4 linked regions of the Oryzias latipes genome follow. The protein of the gene in region 1 binds, or shares a complex with, the protein of each later gene. Links are inferred from orthologs where the notes say so. Each region holds a gene or a part of one and is shown in the gene's direction. Other genes may lie near its edges. The genes, in order: map3k5, pak1, dcp1a and arhgef6.

Region 1 (4,524 bases):
AGAAAAACATAACTGTTAATAGTGATTATCTTCATAAAGGTTTGGGTAAACATTGTCTTAAACACTGTGAACAATCAAAAGTTTAGACTGAAAAGTTCACGGTTTTTGGTATTAGCTTGAGGAAAAGTGAACATAGGGAAATGGTGGAGATTTCCAGGTCAAACATTTCATCAGGGCTTAGTTAAAAACTGTGGGTGAGTGAAGCCAAATGTATCCAAACAAAAACCGTGGCAAGATGGCCACTAAAACAACCGTTTTGTGTTCACCTTTGATTTCAAAAAATGAACAAGAAGCCAAATAAAAGTCGATAGAGTTCGGTTGTCATGGACATGAAATCCGGTCTGAATATGTCTTTAAGTTTGTTTAACCCCCGATGCCTGGTCCATATGCAAACTGAGCTTTAAAGGGTTAAAGGTGAACATTAAAGTAAATTGGAATGAAAAAAAACTGAATTCCTTCACCAATAAAAAACATTAAAGAGAGATAATTCCGGAACCGTTTAACCCCAGAGATGTCGCCGTGTCCCCTTAATAACTAGTTTTTTGAATAAACATAACTTAACGTATGGTATAGCGCTCCCCCCCCCGTGTGAACATTTGATGAAAAGCTCATTGCGCTGACCGAGTCTCCTTATCCACTTCTGTCAGGAACCACAGTGGACGTCCAGCAGGAGCTCAGGAGTCAGCGCGCCGACAGTCGCGAAGACCCGGAGCTGAGCAGCTGGCTGAGGCTCTGCGGCCTGGAGCAGGACGCCATAGACGCGGTGAGGCCCTGCCGCAGCGCGCAACACCTTCCTTTGGGTTTGAACTAAGCAGAATCAACTCCTGCAATTTATCCAGATACTGAACGAGGAGTTTACGCTGAACAACATGCTCTACGATGTAACGAGGGACGATCTGAAGAGCCTCAACCTGAGGTAACACACCCACTTTTTTATGTTTTTAGTCTCACTTCTGCATCCAGACTCAAACACAGAAAAATGCAGAAGAGAAGCTGCAAGAGTTGTTTCATAACACTTTATGCTGCGGTGTTTTTCCAATTTGTAAACTGATTTCATGAGTTCAGATTGAAAATATCTGTCATTTATTTAAAGAAAAACTCTAAAACTCTAAAACAGAATCACCAAAGAACAGTAATAATTTAGAGTTTGTCGCCACCCAGTGGTCAGTCAGCAGCAAATGCTGTGCTAGGAAATGTTATAGTGAACAAATACGTCTGTTGGAGCAGTTTTCTTTTTAAATGGCACAATTTTTGAGAAAAATGTCAGTTTAAAAAAAAGTGCTCATTTGTCATGAAATATCATCGATTTCATCCGGTATATAAACCCCCAAAAAAAGGTCTTGCAGCAAGGAAAATATTTCATCTGCAATTAATCAGCATTTGTAACAGATAACTTCTAGGCTATCCTTGTCTGCACAAAATGTGAAAAACAAAATGTTTTTGGTATACTTCTGGGAAAAAAATCAGCAAGAATGTCAACAACAAAAAACTAAACTGTAACTATGTGTATTTCTGATATTACCTTGTCAAAGTTGTAGATCAACTTGCCTCTGCAACACCACCCCCTAGTGGTTGATCAGTAAACTACAGATTCCTAGTTAACCCTTCACAGCATGACTTTTTGACAGCTTCAACACTATTCTGACATTTTAACGCCTTACTAACGTAAAGTGTTGCATAGCGGGGGCAAAGCTGCTTTTCTCTGTTTCAGAATCAGCTAAAGTTACGTTTATTGTGTAAACAGTTGAAGAGTTACGGTAGAATGTCAACACTAGAGCTGAAGCTCCAGTGATAGTAATCTGAAAATAACAGAGGAAAAGAGGAAAAGAATGCAGTGAAACGAGTTAAAAGATTAAAACTAAAATCTCGTGCATTCTTATGTTTTCTTTCGTTTTTTGCATATATTTCCCCCTAGTGGATATTTAAGATAAGATGAGATAAACTTTATTCATCCCACAATGGGGAAATTATTTTATCTCAAGCAGCAAAAATAGACATTCAGAAGTACAAACAGAAAATAACTTAATAAAAATATGCAGCAGAATCAACTGTAGAAGGATAAAAAAACAACGACAACAACAGTTTACAAAATAAATAGAATGAATGAAAAAACAAAACACCTGTGGGACCGTAGTGTTTCACTGTAACACGGTGTTGGACAGTCTGATGGCTGTGGGGAGGAATGACCTGCAGTAGCTCCTTCTTGCACGTTGGATGCAACAGTCTGGTGCTGAAGAAGGTGGTCAGCGCCTCCACAGTTTGGTGCAGGGGGTGGGAGGGGGTATCCATGATGGATGTTAGCTTAGCTAACATGTTAGCTTAGCTAACATCCTCTTGTCCCCCACCTCCTCCATGGACTCCAGTGTGCAGCCCAGGACAGAGCCGGCCTTCTTAACCAGTTTGTTAAGCCTCCTCCTGTCTCTGTCTGCACTGCCCCCCGCCCAGCACACAACTCCATAAAGGACCACTGAGGCCACCACAGTGTCGTAAAAGGTCCTCAGCAGCTGTCTGCACACGCCAAACGACCTCAGTCTCCTCAGCAGGTGAAGGCGACTCTGGCCCCTCCTGTACAGAGCATCCGTGTTGTTGGACCAGTCAAGTCTGTTGTTCAGGTGAACACCCAGATATTTAAATGTGTCCACGACCTCAATGTCTGAACCCTGGATGTCCACCAGTGACTGTGGTGGCGAGGACCTCCTGAAGTCCAGGATCAGCTCCTTTGTCTTGCTGGTGTTAAGCAGCAGGTGGTTATTTTCACACCAGCCAACAGAGTCAGAGATGACCCCCCTGAAACGCAGCCCACAATGGCACTGTCCTCTGAGAACTTCTGCAGATGACCGTGGTGGGAGACGTATTTAAAGTCTGATGTGTACAGGGTGAACAGGAATGGGGAGAGCACAGTCCCTTGAGGTGCCCCCGTGCTGCAGACCACCACATCAGACACACAGTCATGCAGCCTCACAAACTGTGGTCTGTCTGTGAGGTAGTTGATGGTCCAAGCAGCCAGATGTTGGTCACACCTGCAACTTCCAGCTTCCTCCTCAGCAGTGATGGCTGGATGGTGTTAAAGGCACTGGAGGAATCAAAAAACATGACTCTCACAGTGCTCCCAGGGGTCTCCAGGTGAGACAGGGCCCGATGCTGCAGGTAGATGATGGCGTCATCCACCCCGATGCCTGGTCGATATGCAAACTGCAGCAGGTCCAGTGCTGAGCTCACCTGAGTGCGGAGATGGCTGAGGATGATCCTCTCCATGGCCTTCATTCATTTTGATGTGTATGTGCTAAACAAGGATATTTTCATCATCTGCCTCTTCTTAAAAATGCTAAATAAAAACATTCGTGTGCTAAAAAGTCAAAGACAAACTAATTTTATGCTGTTTCCACTAAATAAACAACTAAATGCAACATAAAGTTGTGATTTTTCATTCTTATTCTTATTTACACTTTTTGGTTATAAATAAAGCTTTCTTTTGATCAGATCTGTAATATGGTGCTGTCAATAAAGTTTTATGTCCCGCGTGAACCTGCTTTGTCTGCAGAGGAGGAGTCCTGTGTAAACTCTGGAAGGCCATCAGCGACCACAGACAGAAACCAGCCTGATGCCTTAAATGGAAAAAGCCCGCAGAGACGCCGACGTCCCAGCATTCCCTCCTTACCTCAGTATTTATAGGAGCCAGAGTTTGGGTTTTTAGCACAAAATGACCTTTTCTGCAGTGAATTGATGAATCTCGATCCCTTTGAAAAACAAAAGGATGACTAAGAAGTGCCACTCGCTCAAATTCAACACGAAAGCTTTAGTTACAGGTGTGCCTAAAATGCCATTTGATAGAAACAGGAAATAATAAACTCCTAAAAAATAGTCTGAAAGTAGAAATCTGTTTCTGTCTTTACCAAATGTGATGTTTACAGAAATACTGATCATTTTCTAAAGAAAAAAAAAAGCCTGAGATACAAAAAAAACTACACTTGACTTTGAGCTTTTTATGACAGAATATTATCACTACTTTATTTAAATGTTTATAGTTTAACTATTGAATTTTGTCTGCGCATGGCCTCCGCAAACTGAAACTTATTTAAATTTCTTTTGGGTTTATTTTTTTTTCACATTTTCTCTGACAAATAAATCAAAAAGTTTTATTTCTAATATTTGCTGTAAATATTGTGATATAAGAATCTATGTGAATAAAATATGTCATATATAGAGGGCACTGCGGGCTTAGAGCATAGACGACATGCGGACCAAGTTTGTTTATTTTTAGTGCCGCATATGATAGAAAATATCACCCTAAATGATTTAACATCCTCTGTTTTTATTGTTTATTCGGCCAACAAGAATAAAAAAAAAACATTTTCACACAAATTACCTTTTTTAATCATGTCAAAAATGTGGGGATGTAATTATTAACATTGTGTTTGTTTGTTTTGTATCCTAAAAATTGATTTGTGTGTTAAAATAAAAAAGACTAATCTTAACGATGTGAAAGAAAATGTCTCCACGTTTCTGTTCACCTCATAGATCTTT
Region 2 (4,524 bases), on another chromosome or scaffold:
TCACGACTTAGTCTTGGGACCGGTTAACAAACCAAAGAAAAGTTGTAAATTTACCAGAAAAAAGTCGAAATAGTCAAATTCTGAGAATTAAGTAGTGTATTTAGAGGTTTTTAAGAAGAGGCTCAAGACCCACCTTTTTAGTCTGGCTTTAACATGACTTTGATCATTTCTTATGTCTTTTATTATTTATCTATTTATTAATTAATTTACGTATTTATTCATTTATTTATTTGTAAGGACTATTATTATCTCTGTTTTTAATATGCTATTCTTTTTATTGTTATTTTACCAATGATACTAAGGTTATGTTTTAATCAGTTTACATATTTTATTTTTTAATACCTAACATTCTTATATCTTATTTTAATTTTTATCTTTTTCTATTTTTATTGTTGTTATTTTATGATAATTTTTATTCTGATGTTTTTTACTCCAGTGTTTCCTCTTGGAATAAAAAAACTCAATCTTTTTATTTCTTCGTTTGCATAAAGAAAAACCAATAGAGATATTTGATGACAGTTTTGAACGTTTTTTAAGAGTTTTGGAGCCTGGAAGTCTGAAGCTGTGAATATCTTGCTAACTTTACCGAACTGTTTTTGTGCGCCTCCTGCTGTGCTTTACGCCAATAAAATGTAATCTGTTCATGATATGCAGACCTCTAGTAGAATACTTATTTGTGGTAATAAGCTTGAAATATATGATCATAATAACAAGGAAATAATGATTCAACATCTGACTCCAATAAAGTGTGAAACGACGCGATTCGCCCGTATTCCAGTCACGTGATCGGATTGGGACATCCCTATTTCTTTAGTACTTGTATCACAATTGATGTTAGGTTTCTTTTAGATCATTTTTATAACATGTATCATATAATTTTTTTGTCTTTTTCTTATTGCAGATAAAAACCTAGACGTGTACAGCTCCTCCACCACAACGGTAAGACCGCCTCTGATTCGCTCCCTAAGGACACGTGACACATTTACTCATTTGTGTAAGAAATTAAGCAAAAGAAGAACTCAGAAACTAAAGTGACATGTTTTGTTTTTTCTTGTCTTAGTTCTGTTGGCAAAGTTCATGATGCTGTTGGTTTTAAAAGTTCCTCACCAACCTGCAAGGATTCCACAGCCTCACACAAAGCAGCGTGGAATTATGGTCATTACTCGCTTGGCAGATCTCTTTCATGCCGGTTGCTGTGCGTTGTGTAGACCTAAGAGAAAGAATTCAGTCCTTAGTGCATCTGCTGACTCGCCTGAAAGCGGATTTATCTAAAGCAGAATGGAACAATCCTTAAAGTAGAAAGGATAAAATGAGAGTTTGACAACAAACTCAAACGTAAATGCTAATTTTGTAGCTGGAACGAGGCATTTTTTAAAATTTCCCCACAATACATATTTCAAAAGAAATCTTTTTCAGACTTCTTTTGAAAAATATTTCTCTAAAGAGTAATGTACTAAATATTATTGTGGTAAAACGCGTGTTTCAAAGGAATTTAAAAGCATATTTAGGGAAATCACTACTTTTCCTTTCAACATGGGAGCCCATTTGGTAGAACAGTTGCAATCACAATGGGGCGCTTGCCAGTGTTTCCCCATTGACTGTATATGAGAACTGAACTGAGTGACTCCGCCCCTCTGACGTTTAGAACAGGAAGTACCTGCTGGCTCCAAGATGCCAAAATCCCATATACGTCATTTGAAAAAAAATAGCTGTTACTCAGTCATGCTATTGGTTAGAAAAACAAATTTTATTCTGATACTTTTTTTTTAACTTGTTTTTGATAATCATAACTTTTTTTTAATTATATGTTTTTCTTTATCACAAGTTATTCAGGTTATAAATTTATTCCCTTAAAAAAAAGTATGTGATCCCCGCTGGCCCCCCAAGGGCTTCGCAATTAAAGAAAGACAAGCGCTATTTTATAAATAAAGTTTGATTTGATTTGATTTGAAAAGACGTTTAAAGTTTTAAAGAAAAAGAGTTATTGTGACCCTCACTCGAAAACGTTTGGGGACCCCTGCTCTAGCATCCGTGTGGTGTTTGAAGGTTTGTTGTTTTTCAATCTTCCAATCATTCAAACACCACATGAACGCAGCATTTCTCTAAGTTTTACACGAAGTACATCAAGCCATTGGTGCAACTGGCTCTAAATTGAGAACTAACGTTTTAACCTAAAAACTCTAAAATGCTCTGTTTTAAAATATAATTTTAAATCCAACTGCTTTTCATCCAGATGCCATGTTATTTCTTTCTCACTCCGTGCATCTGCTCCTGGTCCGGCCCTTCTATTTAATTTTAGAACCCTATTTGGCCCGCCAGTCAAAATATGTGCCCAGCCCTGCTGGTAGATGTAAAAATCGCCCTAAAAGATTCAAAATTAAATTAAATATTTACATAACATTCATAAAATATCTTAAACCAAATATATCAACTATATTTTGAGGCCAAAAAAGGAAAAAACAAAGTTCTGATTGTGTGTCGGAATGCTCCTTAATCAGAGACTCTTGCAGTGACAGACTGCTTTTGAACTCGATTTTGTTTCATTTCTGAACGTAATGGTGAAGACAACGATGAAGAACAGCAGGAGTTCCTCCAGATGTACTCCTCTGTCTCCTCCTCTGCATTATGAATCAGCATCTTGTCTCCTCGCCATTTGCCCGTCCCTGCAGCTTGGCCACCAGCCGAGCATCGCGGGCAGACAGAGGAGGAGGAGGAGAAGAAGAGAGGAAGATGTAGCATCACAAGCCACACCTGAGCAGAGCTTTCAGACGGCAAAGGAGATGACGGGAGGCGGGCGAACAAAAAGATGGAGGGAGAGTTGAAAGGGTTGAATAAGACCCAGAGAAGAAGAGCTGAAGACGGGCAGGAGGAATGTCTGCCTGATGAGATTAGGAAGCATCAGAGAGCAGCAGGAAGCAATGATGGGTCTCGTATCGATGATCGCTCATGTAGCCATGGCGTCACTCAGGCTCCTCCCTCTCTCCCCCTGTGACATCATGCAGAGCACCAAAGCCGTGTTGGAGACTCCCGCCATAGCAACCGTATCCGAGGATGAAGACGAGGAGGAGGTGGAGCCCCCGCCGGTGGTTGCGCCCCGTCCAGAACACACAAAATCAGTAAGAATTTACTTTTTTGTTGTTTTTTGTATTATACTTCTTAGTAAACTTTTAGTAGAGACTTTTTAAAGTATATTTCATTTTACACACTTTTGAAAAAAAGACAGATTGGTTTTAAAAGAAAACATTGTTTCAAAACACACTTGGCTACATTTGATATCAAATCAAAACTTTATTCATAAAGAAGTTTTCATACAAACGTAACAGGAAGTGCTTATATACTTTGCTTAAACAGTATGTTTTAAGAAATAAAAGTATGTAAAATTTGTCCAACACAAGAGGCCTTCACGTCCTTTCTCTCTGCTGGACAGAATGAAATTTAAAAATAAATAAATAAAACTTTGGTAAGGAGCAGGCCCACCCCCCCTTCCCCTCCCCTTTGCTGGGAGCTTGGAGCATGAAGCTTGCCCACCTAGCATATTTTAAGATCAGAATTAAGCGCTTTTTCAAACGGAAAATTTCCTCTGCTCCTGATTCACAACAGTTTGGTTAAAGAAATACTCAGAAATTACATTTTATGCTTGATTCTCTTTATATATGTCCTCAATAAGCAGAAAATTGCCACAAGATGTTAAAAACATAAAAAAAATGTTTAATCAGAGTGGGTCTTCAAGTGACTTTCATAAATATTCAATCAAAAGATGAAAATATTTCAGTATTAGTTGGAATGCATGTGAAGTCAGAAGTGTTTTTGCATTTGTAAAAATACATGACACGATGAAAATTTATTTTCACAACTTCTATTAAAAACACAGGAAAAAAAAGCACAAAGTTATGCAAAATGCTAAGAAACAAACTGAAACAAACTTTTCCAATTAGCCTTTGAGCTTATCATAGCTGTCTTTGATGAGAACATGTTATGAAAGTATGCAAAATAAAGGTAAAACTGCTTTACACTTTTACTCACCCTTACAGCGTAAGTCAATATATAGAAGAAGTTTAGAGTCAAGAAGGTTTTCTTCTGACATTTGATAAGGTGTTCGTTGGAATCATCCTCTCCTCATTCACACCAACCATCCCCATGCTCTTCTTCACTACATCAATGGTCCCTGCCCCTCCTCTGAAACCATCACAATCTGCTTCCCAGGATCAGTTCCTCTGATGGATTCATTCCTCATCCTGGTCAGAGAACCTCAACATCTTCATCTCTGCCACCTGTCTCTTTCTCAGACCCACTGTCTGTCAAATCTTTAAAGTCATTTGAAAAAACTTTTCTAAACAGAATGTGATTAATGCCAAACTCAATAAATGGATTCAATTATTTAAAAAAGTGGCACGAAAACTATAGATGCTCGTTCAAAGATGTTGGTGGAGTCATGACAGCGACTTTATCTGACTATTGCAACCGGATATGACATTATATTATTCTTTAACCTTTTATTTCTATTTTTTCAATTAAAAAAATCAT
Region 3 (5,248 bases), on another chromosome or scaffold:
CTACAACAGAAAGAAATAAAAAAAGAATAAAATACAAATAAAAGAACAATTAAAATAAAAAAACATTAAAATTGTAGTTTACAATGCTAGGGGTTGTCATACAACATGTAATCTTCAATGAAAATAGACAGTTTTATTGCATTTTTGTTTTTTATTAATTTCAGAGATTTAAAATATTAACTGATCTCTATATCAACTGTATTAAATAATGGTTTGGTTTTGAAATTCTGCTCTTGTGAATTAAACATTTCCCAGATATTAATAAAGTATTGAATGTCAAATAAAATAGATTATCACCAGAAACCATTCCAAATAATATGATGCGCTTTTGTAATTGAATAGAAATAGGAAAGGGAAACTTTGAGGAGCACCAAGAAAAAAAATCCTCCCAAAAATTGTTAACATATATACATTCCAAAAACAGATGATCAAGTGTTTCTATATTTATGTCACAGAAAGAACAGTTATTTTCTGGAAAACCAAAATGTATACGTAGTAGTTCTTTGCACGGATAGACTGCATTCTTACATCAAAATCACATTTTAGGAGGAATTCAATGCCCCCCAGATGGGAGAAAAAGTTTGAAGGAATATGAAACAAAATATTTATTTCATTTTGCAGAAAAGCCCTAAGCCAATTTATTTTAATCATACTATTCAAACTTTCAAAGTCTATGGCTTTAAATCCACCTTCACTGTAATCCTGAATTATTATTCATTTTTTATGTAATGAGTTTTGTTTTTCCAGATGAAGTTAAAATTGCCCTGGTTTCTTGTTTTCCTTGCAGATTTAGGAATTGGGAGTGAATATGCTGGATAAATGAATCTGGATAAACAATCTAATTTAGTGAGAAACATTCTGCCCAGAATAGAAATGTCACGCTGTGACCACATGTTTAAATTTACTTACAATTCACACTTGCTGAGATTTAGTTTTAAACCAGTTGCTTTAGAATAGGAATCTGCGGTTTGAAAGATCTCCGGTATTTGATGACTCTCCTTCATGAATACGGCCGTGTCGTCTGCCAGCTTAGTAATGGCTAACTGTTCTCCCAGGACATTGAGTTTACAGAAACCAGAGTTTGTTATAAGTATTGATAACATTTCTGTTGCTGTTATAAAAAGCAACGGTGAAAATTGGACAGCCTTGTTTAATTCTTTTGTTAATTAAAAATCTGGGAGAAATGCCATTCGGTGAAATAACTACACTGTTCGTATCGTTATAGATTGTTTTAACAAAACTTATGAAATTAGGTCCAAATCAAAATAATTCTAACTAAAACGTTTATCCAGAACAGATTTAAATTAAACATTGAGACACTTTGTAGCTTTGGTTGTGATTCCCCTGAAACAGTTATCCATCTTTTTTGGTATTGTCCCAAAGTTAAGGTGTTTTGGCAGAAGATGTGTGATTTTATTAATGATAAAATTGATTCTTGTTTTGTCTTGTTTTGGAAAGATGTCTTGTTGGGTCTAATATAAAAAAATATGCAAAAGGACTCTTGTTTACTTCTAAATCTTTTACTCATTTTGGCAAAATTCCATGTTCATAAATGTACATTTTCAGGTAGAAAACCCTGTTTCACTGTATTCTTTTCTAAATTAAATCAGTATATCAACAGTATTCGAAATTCAGAGAAGCAAAAAGCAATCAGAACATTGTCTGTATGTGATAGATTCAGTATTTTTTCGTAGAGTTTAACCCCCTGGCTTATAACTATTTCTAGTCTTGTTCTTCTGTTTGTTACAGAAGTGTATTTGATATTTGCAGTTGTGGTTTTTTTTTCATACCTAAAAGTACATTTTTGTAAAATGGCATAATGTGCAATAAAGTTGAGCTTTAAAAAAAAATAGTGGAAGTGGGGAACTATTTTTGAGCGCCGCCACTTCCGGGGACAAGCGAAGTTGAAAGTGTTTCAAAAAAATTCGTCCGTGTAGGTACAACAGACCGATCCAAGATGGAAACTGTAAGTGCGGGACATATGATGAGCTTAGCAGCTCTTCAAAGACAAGACCCCTATATAAACAAATTACTAGATGTAACTGGTCAAGTTGCACTTTACAACTTTAATTCTAAAGTAAACGAGTGGGTAAGTTCATTAGTTACTTTATGATTTTCTGTGATTCGAATGAGGCTTTATCATCATGTTTACTTAGCTCATGGTGCTAGCCCTCGTTAATCAAAACGCGACAGTAGCACTATGTTCACTAAAGCTTTACCGTACGTGGACCTTTATGCTTCGTTATTTTAGCTAATGCTATTTCTAGTCCTTTCAATTTTTGTATTTTTAAATGTATTTCCTTTAGTTAAACTATTGTTCACAGATTCGGCAGCACCTTTTCAGAACATGTTTTGACTTGTAATGTTATTTTAAACATTTTAGGAGAAGACCGACATCGAAGGCACTCTGTTTGTTTATGCCAGGTAAGATTAGCACTTGAACTCGTAATTTGATTGTTTACTTCATCATTGGGTGCTCTGCGCATGTGCACAGGCCACCGTAGGCGTATTTGTAAACAAATCGAGAAAACTTGCCCCAGCCTAGATTTTTATGTTTACAGTACAAAAAATGAATTTTGCTCATCAAACAATTTGCCAAGAAAACTGTACATTTATGATTTAATATAACTGACTTTTTTTTGCCTCAGAAATTTTTAAATCAAGTCATGTGCATTTATTTTCTGTCTTTTTTAGAAAATCATTAGGAAAATTAACAATAAAACTTGTTTTTAAAAATTGCCAGATTATATTTACCTTTAAACAAAGAATTGTAAAAACTAGAAATGTTTTTATCAATTTTGAAATATCCAACATTTCACTGTCATAAAAGTTTTTTTCAAGTGTTTTTTAATTGCTTTGTCAACAGTAAACAATGAAGCATTATCAACAGAGTGATGTTTGTTCCTTTTAGGTCTGCTTCTCCTTATCATGGCTTCACCATCATGAACAGATTAAGTACAGTCAACCTTGTGGAGCCTATTAACAAAGACCTGGAATTCCAACTGCAGGATCCTTTCTTGCTCTACAAGAATGGCAACTGTAAGTGGTTTGAATAAAAATCCTCATCAAAGTATGGAAGAGTTGTAATCATTAATTTAATTCAAAAGTGCTTTATAATGATGTTCTATTTAAGTAGATTTCAAGGAATAGTGATCTTTTGAAGCTACAAGGTATTCATTAAAACCAGGATGAGGCTGCCCACATGATTATAGAGTGAAACGTCTTGAGTTGAGATGAAGACATGCTGATTTAATGCTTAGATCACATTTTTTGTTGAAAATAGGAAGTCGTAAAAATTTCTGACCACATTGTCGATACAAAATTAGAATAAAGCACAATTCACTGAGTAATCCAGGACATTTTTGCCAAAGTAAAATGGAAATTTTCAAGTTAACTCTTGTTTTTTAAATACGCCGTTTTATTTGCAGCTTTTTTGTCCATTTCCTTTATTCTTTGTGAACCCACCTTAATGTATAAGTCATTGTAGTGCACCGCGGATTCACAAACTGTCAAAAGTGGCTGTCATACCTAGTTTGTGAACAATCTATTGTTCACAAATGCTCAAATAATTCTGACAGTACCTCTGAACATTCTGGATAAACACCTCCCCAGTGTTCGGTGGAACATCTCTTCTCCTTTTTGCTTGAACTCATGGTGACTTCTTGAAGCATTAAGCAGGAACACTTTGTCATTCATGGCCTACAGCGGCCTCGTAAACAAGCGCTTCCAGCTGGTTTTGCAACAGTTATCCTTCGCATTTGGGTCAAAAAGCAAAAAGAGTTCAAAGTTTCATTCATCAAACTTCTTCTGCTATAATTGTTTTAGTTTGCTGATTGTTCAATCCTGTAATTTCCTCCTGGAAAAATGGGTCAAATAGAAAAAAATTGCGCCATACTAGATCTTCAAAAAGTAGCTGACAGCACTTCCACCAAGATAATCAATGAGGAGTCTGAGCAGAAGTTTCATCAAAGCGATGAACAAAGAATTCGACTGCTTTCCCATTTGTTTGCTGATGAGAAAAGTTAGCATAGCCAAGGTTAAAGTCAAAGTGGATTGTTCTCCTTTGGGCTTTGGTTTTCCCAGCAGCCTGGCAGGTATGGAAGCCATGATGCAGTGTTTTGTTGGTGATCCAATATAGTCTGCTTCTCCAGTAGCTTCACTCAAGTCTTCGGGGCTTTTGTCATCGCTTACTTCCTTTCTGTCAGCTTTAGTTTCAAAAAGATAAAATGAAGAGCAGTTTTCTCAGGAAACATTAGCTGATAATGCTCCTTGAGTTGAGGTGAAGATACATCCGTCTTGGCAACTAAGCTTTTCTCTGCAAACGTTAGTCGAAGTGGTTTTTTTTTGTTTGTTTGTTTTTCCGTCGGTTGGTTTTCAGTCCCGTCTCACTCTGTTAGTTTATCCACTTGTTTGGAGAGAAAAATGTTTCTGCGCTTTTTCTCCTTTAGTGTAGGTTTGGCTTTGAAGGTGGAGATTCCAATTCTGATCTTGAAAGTCCTGCAAAAGAACAACCCACCCTCTGAAGGAGAAATGTCACCATCAAAAACGATCAGGATCCAAATATAATTCTCCAAATAAAGGGTTTAAATGTTTACGTTTCGCTCCTGTGAGTGGTGCAGAGCTCACTGCAAATGTGCTTGGATGTGGAGAATAGTGTTGCAGAGAAACACTTGGACACACCTGTTTACACCTCATCCTTTTCCCTTTGGACGCTGATGGTGCTGCAGGGAGGCAAATGTTTTGGTTGCCGGGTTACTGTTGCTTCACAAGAGATTCAGACACCGGGATTTTACAACACACTTGCAACATAAAGTAATAACAACCAGATATTATTTTTACAGTTAAACCTTTTTGTAATTACATTATTTTACATTTCAGTAGTAGTTTGATCTGTGCGATCAAAGTCCTTTCATAAACTTCAGTTTTTAGTTTTCCACATCTGGTTCTTGGAAGAATTCTGTGAACTTCTTTTATTCTATCAGTTTTTTTACCCATTTTATTCAAACAGATGTTTAAACTTTAGGATTATTAAGTAAGCTTTAATATTTGATCTTGTTGTTGTTGAGAACTAATGATTAAATTAATCATTCACAGCCTTTTGGGGTTATTTTTTTGCATTACTGCTTTACCTAACAGAATGTCTGTTTCTATATTTCTTCTAGTGGGCATCTACAGTATTTGGTTCTATGACAAGAGGGACTGTCGGCGCATAGCTCAGCTGATGCTCAAGTAAGTGAGCTGAAATGTA
Region 4 (5,106 bases), on another chromosome or scaffold:
TACAGTTGCAACAAAAATGCCGAGCATTATTGGAGCTATCGGTCATGCAGTTTTGAGCCAGGTGCCAGATCAGACGAGGAAAATGAAGACGTACGTGGATCTAGTCGTCTACACGTGGATGCATCAGAATGAAGCGGAGCAGGGAGCTTGGGGCCCACCCAGCATATTCTTAATGACAGAAATAAGCTCTTTTTCAAACACCATTTTTCTGTTTTTTTTTGTTGAATCACGTTTGATTAAAGAAATACTGTACTCAGAAATGCAATTTTGAGCTTAATGATTTTTATACATGTCCTCCATGGGTGGAAAAAAAGCCAAAAGATGTTTTAAATGTTAAATCAAAAATGCGTGTTCTCTACAGAATGCACTCCTCCCTCACCTTCCTTCTCTGCAAGCTGAAAACTGGTGCAAACAACCATCCTTCCTATTCTTGATTATGGTGATTTTTATCAACATCATCTGCTGCTAAAGTTGGAACACATCAATCTCTCTGCTATTTGTTCATCTTCTAAACCCTTTTGGGGTCACGGGGCTGCTGGAGCCTATCCCGGCCACTCGTGGGTGAAGGCAGGGGACGTCCTGGACAGGTCGCCAGTCTTTCGCAGGGCCACAATCGCACACCCTCACATTCACACCCAGGGACAATTTAGAGTAACCAATTAACCCATGAAGCATGTTTTTGGACTGTTGGAGGAAGCCGGAGAAATCCACACATGCACTGGGAGAAAATGCACACTCCACCCATTGATGTTCTGTTTCAGGTCCCCCAGCCGGGATTTGAACCAGCAGCCTTTCTTGCTGTGAGGCAAGAGCGCTAGGGCAGACCTTTAAAATAATGAAAAACGTTCTTATAGTAACTATTTAATTAACATCAAAATCTAAACCTGAGACAGGATTCTGTAAGTAGTTCTGCTCTGGACTCACTATTTCTGCAGCTTTTCCACCTGCTTGGTGTTTGTGTGTGGGATGAGTGTTTTGCCTTGTGTTGGAAAACAACATAGTCTCCAGTTGGCTACCATGAAGAATGACACTTCCTTTATCCCATCATAATAACTTAACTCTCCCAGTTTCCCCTTCAGATACTTTGACACAACACCAGCTGCTGGTGTGTTTGGTTTGCAGTAACTGTATAATAACAAAAAAAGTAATTGGATTACTCTGTAAAAATAATGGTGTTAATTAATCAACACTTAATTGCTGTTATTTGAAGCACTGGTTGTAAATGTAGCTTTCTGATTTTTGGGGGGTTTTGGGTTCTAGCTCTTCTTATTTTAAAAATATTAGGTGGACCCTGCCTTAAACAAAGTGACATCGTCCACTCCATTACTTATCCTTGTAACTGCTGCATATTTATCTGAAGTTAATGAGCTAAAGCGCAATGATTTAAAACAAAGTACTAAAATATGATTGTTTTTGTTTTTTCCAGGTCCTGGCAGAACCTTCTCTTGAGGTTTGGGCTGGACTGCATCAAGTGGAAGAACTTGTAGAAAGAGGAGCAAGTTAAAGTTTTGATGAAGTTTACAGTTGGGCTTAATAAAGATTTTGGAGGGAAAAATGTTTTGCCTCATCTCTTTCTATATACATATATATTTATAATAGTAAATATTAAAGTACAAGGAAAGGGAGTCATGGTTGAACTTCCTATATATATATATATATATATATATATATATATATATATATATATATATATATATATATATATATATATATATATATATATATATATATATATATATATATATATATATATATATATATATATATATATATATATATATATATATATATATGTGTATATATATATATATATATGTGTGTATATATATATATATATATGTGTGTATATATATATATATATATATATATATATATGTATATATATATATATATATATATATATATATATATATATATATATATATTAAAAGGCTGGTAATTTTAATGTGATGTGTTGATTTCCATCAATCACGAGTGGTTGTGTGCATCTTGAAGGATGTGCTGCTCTGCAGGAGGAAGCTCTGCTTGTCGAGGTGCCTGTTTGCCAGTAGGGGTAGCGTGCAGTGGCCGCGTCCTCCTCCGCCAACTGCCTCTTTTTTTTTTTTTTAACTTGTAGCAGAAGTGCGGATGTGAGTTGCATGTTGATGGGTAGCACAGCAGCTTCAATATTTTTTTTAACGATGCAGTTTTAGGAGGACCGCGGAGCTATGAATCCAGAGGAGCAGACGGTAACGTGGTTGATCTCGCTGGGGGTGCTCAGCTCGCCCAAAAAGAACATAGCGGACCCGGAGGAGTTTCTAAAAGCATCCCTGAAGGATGGGGTCGTCCTGTGCAAGCTCACGGAGCGCCTCATACCCGACTTCACTCCCAAGGTGAGACGTCGAGTTCACCGGACAAATGGCACCAAATTAACGGCTCTCTGGTGGAGAAGAAGGAATAGGCTCGCCGAAAGCGATACTGACAGGAACTTAGTTGTCCCTGCAGACGGCCCTGCTGCTGTGTGTGTGTCCCCCAGCCGACACATTTTACCACCGAATGTTCCTTTATGTCGCGTGCTTATCTCGAAGTTTTAGCAACACTTTAGATTCACGCGCGCTGGCTTTTCAGGGAGTTGTTTCTGTACGTGTGGAAAAAAAATCTGTTCCGCATTCTTGACGCGAGCGGGTCGGTGTGGAGAGATGTTGTCAAAATACGACGAACTTGACACTTCAAGAGCACGGAGGGCGGCAAATGTCATAAGTGTGAGCGTGCGTGGTACTTTATTTGTATTACACATGACATTATAGACTTTTAAACTGGAAAAGACGCGCCATAACTTATGCTAAACGCAAAGATGGCAAAGTTGATAGTGATAACAGTTGCAAATGTAGGTCGTCACTTCCTCTTGAACGGCTGTTCTTCCCGGTGCGACCTCCCCTTTGAAAAAAGTGCAAAGCGCCGCCACTAGCGTAAAGACGCAGAACGCAACCGGAAGCAACACTTTTAAGTTGCCCACATTTGCATCTTACGGCTCTAATACATGTGTTTTTTTTTCTGACAAGTTGCTACATTCAAAAATAAAAACGGTCCCTCCCCCAAAAATATGTAAATGTCACAGTCGCCTGTAACTTTTATTGATAAAATACCATATTTTATTTTGAAATCTGGGGAAGCGGCCGGAAGCTTTGGTGAAACAAGTTGTTCTTTACATTTGTTTGGTGTAACGGCTTGAAAATGCAAGTAGAAAATGAAGGAGAAATGTAGTCATGCTTTCAAGTATGTTATTATATCACGTTGGGATTATAAACATGTCACTTTACTTGCTTCTAAGTCGCATTGAAATGAAAACCGTGTCTGCTAGGTGCGTATCAGATAAACAGTTTGCTTCACCAAAGCTAGATACTAGACGTTTTTCTATTTATCTAGTGTTTTGTTTTATAATAGTGTTCTCAAGAACCAAGAACTGAAGCGGAATGCATCTCCAACATCCGAGAGTTTTTAAGAGGATGCTCGTCCTTGAAAGTAGAGGTAAGGTGAATCTGATGGACTTCTTTTTGCCTGTTTTACCTTAAAGACATGAGGAGCTGACCTTTGACCTTTATCACTATTACCTGTTTACTCTGTCCTTGGAATCTCTTGCAGGTCTTCTGTCTGATTTGACCAACTCTTGCTTGTGTTTGGGTATTTGTTGTGTGAGCCACTTTCTAGGCTGTCACTCACACTTACCAGGGATTGCTGGTCAAAATCCTTATTTATTTGTATTATTTTTTGATAAATTCTTAATTTTATTTTATTGTTATAGTGCTTATTGTCAGTAAAGACCTCTAGGTACCTTTTGCAGGTTTCTATTGCTGAACAAGAAACCAGGCGAATTGCTTACAGATGTTGGGAGTTTACCTCTCTACCAGCCTGCCTGTTTTTACCACAGCAGACATTAATGTCTCCCTCAACTTTATAAATAATCGGCTCTGGTTAGAGGCCCAGAAATGATTCCTTTGAAGCGTTAATCGAGTCAGCCCAGCTTGGTCCACTCCGGTGGTTTACTAGGCTTGCCCAGCTGGCTTGTTATGTCTGAGAGGTCTTCTTTGCTCTTATTCACCAGCTCGGTTTTAGCCCATAATTAGACCTTTCGCAGTCAGCCAGTAGGTCATGGGCAGAGGTCTGTGGAGCGCTTCTGCCAAATGTATCAGCCAGAAAATATCTTTCAGTCATTCGGGGAGAGCATACTTTCCTCTTCTTTTTCTTTCTTTCTTATTCTTTCTGTTATATTACTAAAGCAAACCGTGCCTGTAGGCCAAGTTACTACATACATAAAGAGAGCAGCAGCCATTCTGCTTTCACTTCTGCTCTGCGAGGACAAAAAAAGGAAGACTGCTGCTTTTGTTGAGCCTCAGAATTTTTTTTTACTGCATAATATTCACCAGAAAAGATGGACTGGTCAGAATTCTTTTTTTTTTTTTTTGGATGCTAAGAAGACAAATATTTATGGGAACTATCACACTTTTAATCACAGATTGTCTCTGTTAAACATGGCTTACCTGTCTTTCCCTCTGTTTTTCTTAGCTATGCAACAAAATTCCGATTTCCAATTTTTAAACAAACATAAATTACACATGAACCACCTTATTGTTGATTAATAAAGAAAAAAGACAGACAAAGTGGATTATAACAGCTATATAGATCCTGGGATGACCTCATATTGGCCGCCATACTGGTCGAACATTGCCCAGAGGCTGCACACAGCACAGTTTATACTACTTAAACTCTATATTTAAGATGTTTTATTTAAAATGTGAAACCTTAGCCAAAGGAGGAAAGAAGATAGCTGTCTTGGACCGATTAGGCAAGCAGTGAGTGTGCAAGTGTGTAAAGGAAAGTGGACAGGAACCACAGATGAGTATGGCCCGCCATTTCCTTCTTTTATTAAAGACTGAAAAATGACGGAAAACAGGCCATGTACATAGATAGATAGATAGATAGATAGATAGATAGATAGATAGATAGATAGATAGATAGATAGATAGATAGATAAAAAAGCTTTTTATAAAGGGCAGCTTTTGGTTTCTAACATCCTCTTCTCTGCTACCTGTCCATCCAGGGCTTTGAACCAGAGTGGTTATATACTGG

The links.
Region 2: map3k5 (region 1) and pak1 share a complex: the UniProt entries of both Homo sapiens proteins name them as parts of the cytoplasmic complex. The link is inferred for Oryzias latipes from reciprocal best matches to the Homo sapiens genes MAP3K5 and PAK1.
Region 3: map3k5 (region 1) and dcp1a share a complex: the UniProt entries of both Homo sapiens proteins name them as parts of the cytoplasmic complex. The link is inferred for Oryzias latipes from reciprocal best matches to the Homo sapiens genes MAP3K5 and DCP1A.
Region 4: map3k5 (region 1) and arhgef6 share a complex: the UniProt entries of both Homo sapiens proteins name them as parts of the cytoplasmic complex. The link is inferred for Oryzias latipes from reciprocal best matches to the Homo sapiens genes MAP3K5 and ARHGEF6.

The regions. Positions count from the first base shown.
Region 1 is NC_019882.2:18,716,642-18,721,165, reverse strand, and holds the end of map3k5 (mitogen-activated protein kinase kinase kinase 5), read left to right. Parts: intron 1-647; coding exon 648-763; intron 764-839; coding exon 840-916; intron 917-3,541; coding exon 3,542-3,602; 3' UTR 3,603-4,475; downstream 4,476-4,524. UniProt on the Homo sapiens protein: Serine/threonine kinase which acts as an essential component of the MAP kinase signal transduction pathway. Plays an important role in the cascades of cellular responses evoked by changes in the environment.
Region 2 is NC_019871.2:4,534,157-4,538,680, forward strand, and holds part of pak1 (serine/threonine-protein kinase PAK 1), read left to right. Parts: intron 1-901; coding exon 902-939; intron 940-3,002; coding exon 3,003-3,116; intron 3,117-4,524. UniProt on the Homo sapiens protein: Protein kinase involved in intracellular signaling pathways downstream of integrins and receptor-type kinases that plays an important role in cytoskeleton dynamics, in cell adhesion, migration, proliferation, apoptosis, mitosis, and in vesicle-mediated transport processes.
Region 3 is NC_019865.2:7,301,319-7,306,566, forward strand, and holds the start of dcp1a (mRNA-decapping enzyme 1A), read left to right. Parts: upstream 1-1,918; 5' UTR 1,919-1,957; coding exon 1,958-2,089; intron 2,090-2,383; coding exon 2,384-2,424; intron 2,425-2,911; coding exon 2,912-3,039; intron 3,040-5,162; coding exon 5,163-5,229; intron 5,230-5,248. UniProt on the Homo sapiens protein: Necessary for the degradation of mRNAs, both in normal mRNA turnover and in nonsense-mediated mRNA decay. Removes the 7-methyl guanine cap structure from mRNA molecules, yielding a 5'-phosphorylated mRNA fragment and 7m-GDP.
Region 4 is NC_019868.2:11,001,331-11,006,436, forward strand, and holds the start of arhgef6 (rho guanine nucleotide exchange factor 6), read left to right. Parts: upstream 1-2,050; 5' UTR 2,051-2,207; coding exon 2,208-2,372; intron 2,373-3,092; exon of another isoform or gene 3,093-3,340; intron 3,341-3,423; coding exon 3,424-3,507; intron 3,508-5,077; coding exon 5,078-5,106. UniProt on the Homo sapiens protein: Acts as a RAC1 guanine nucleotide exchange factor (GEF).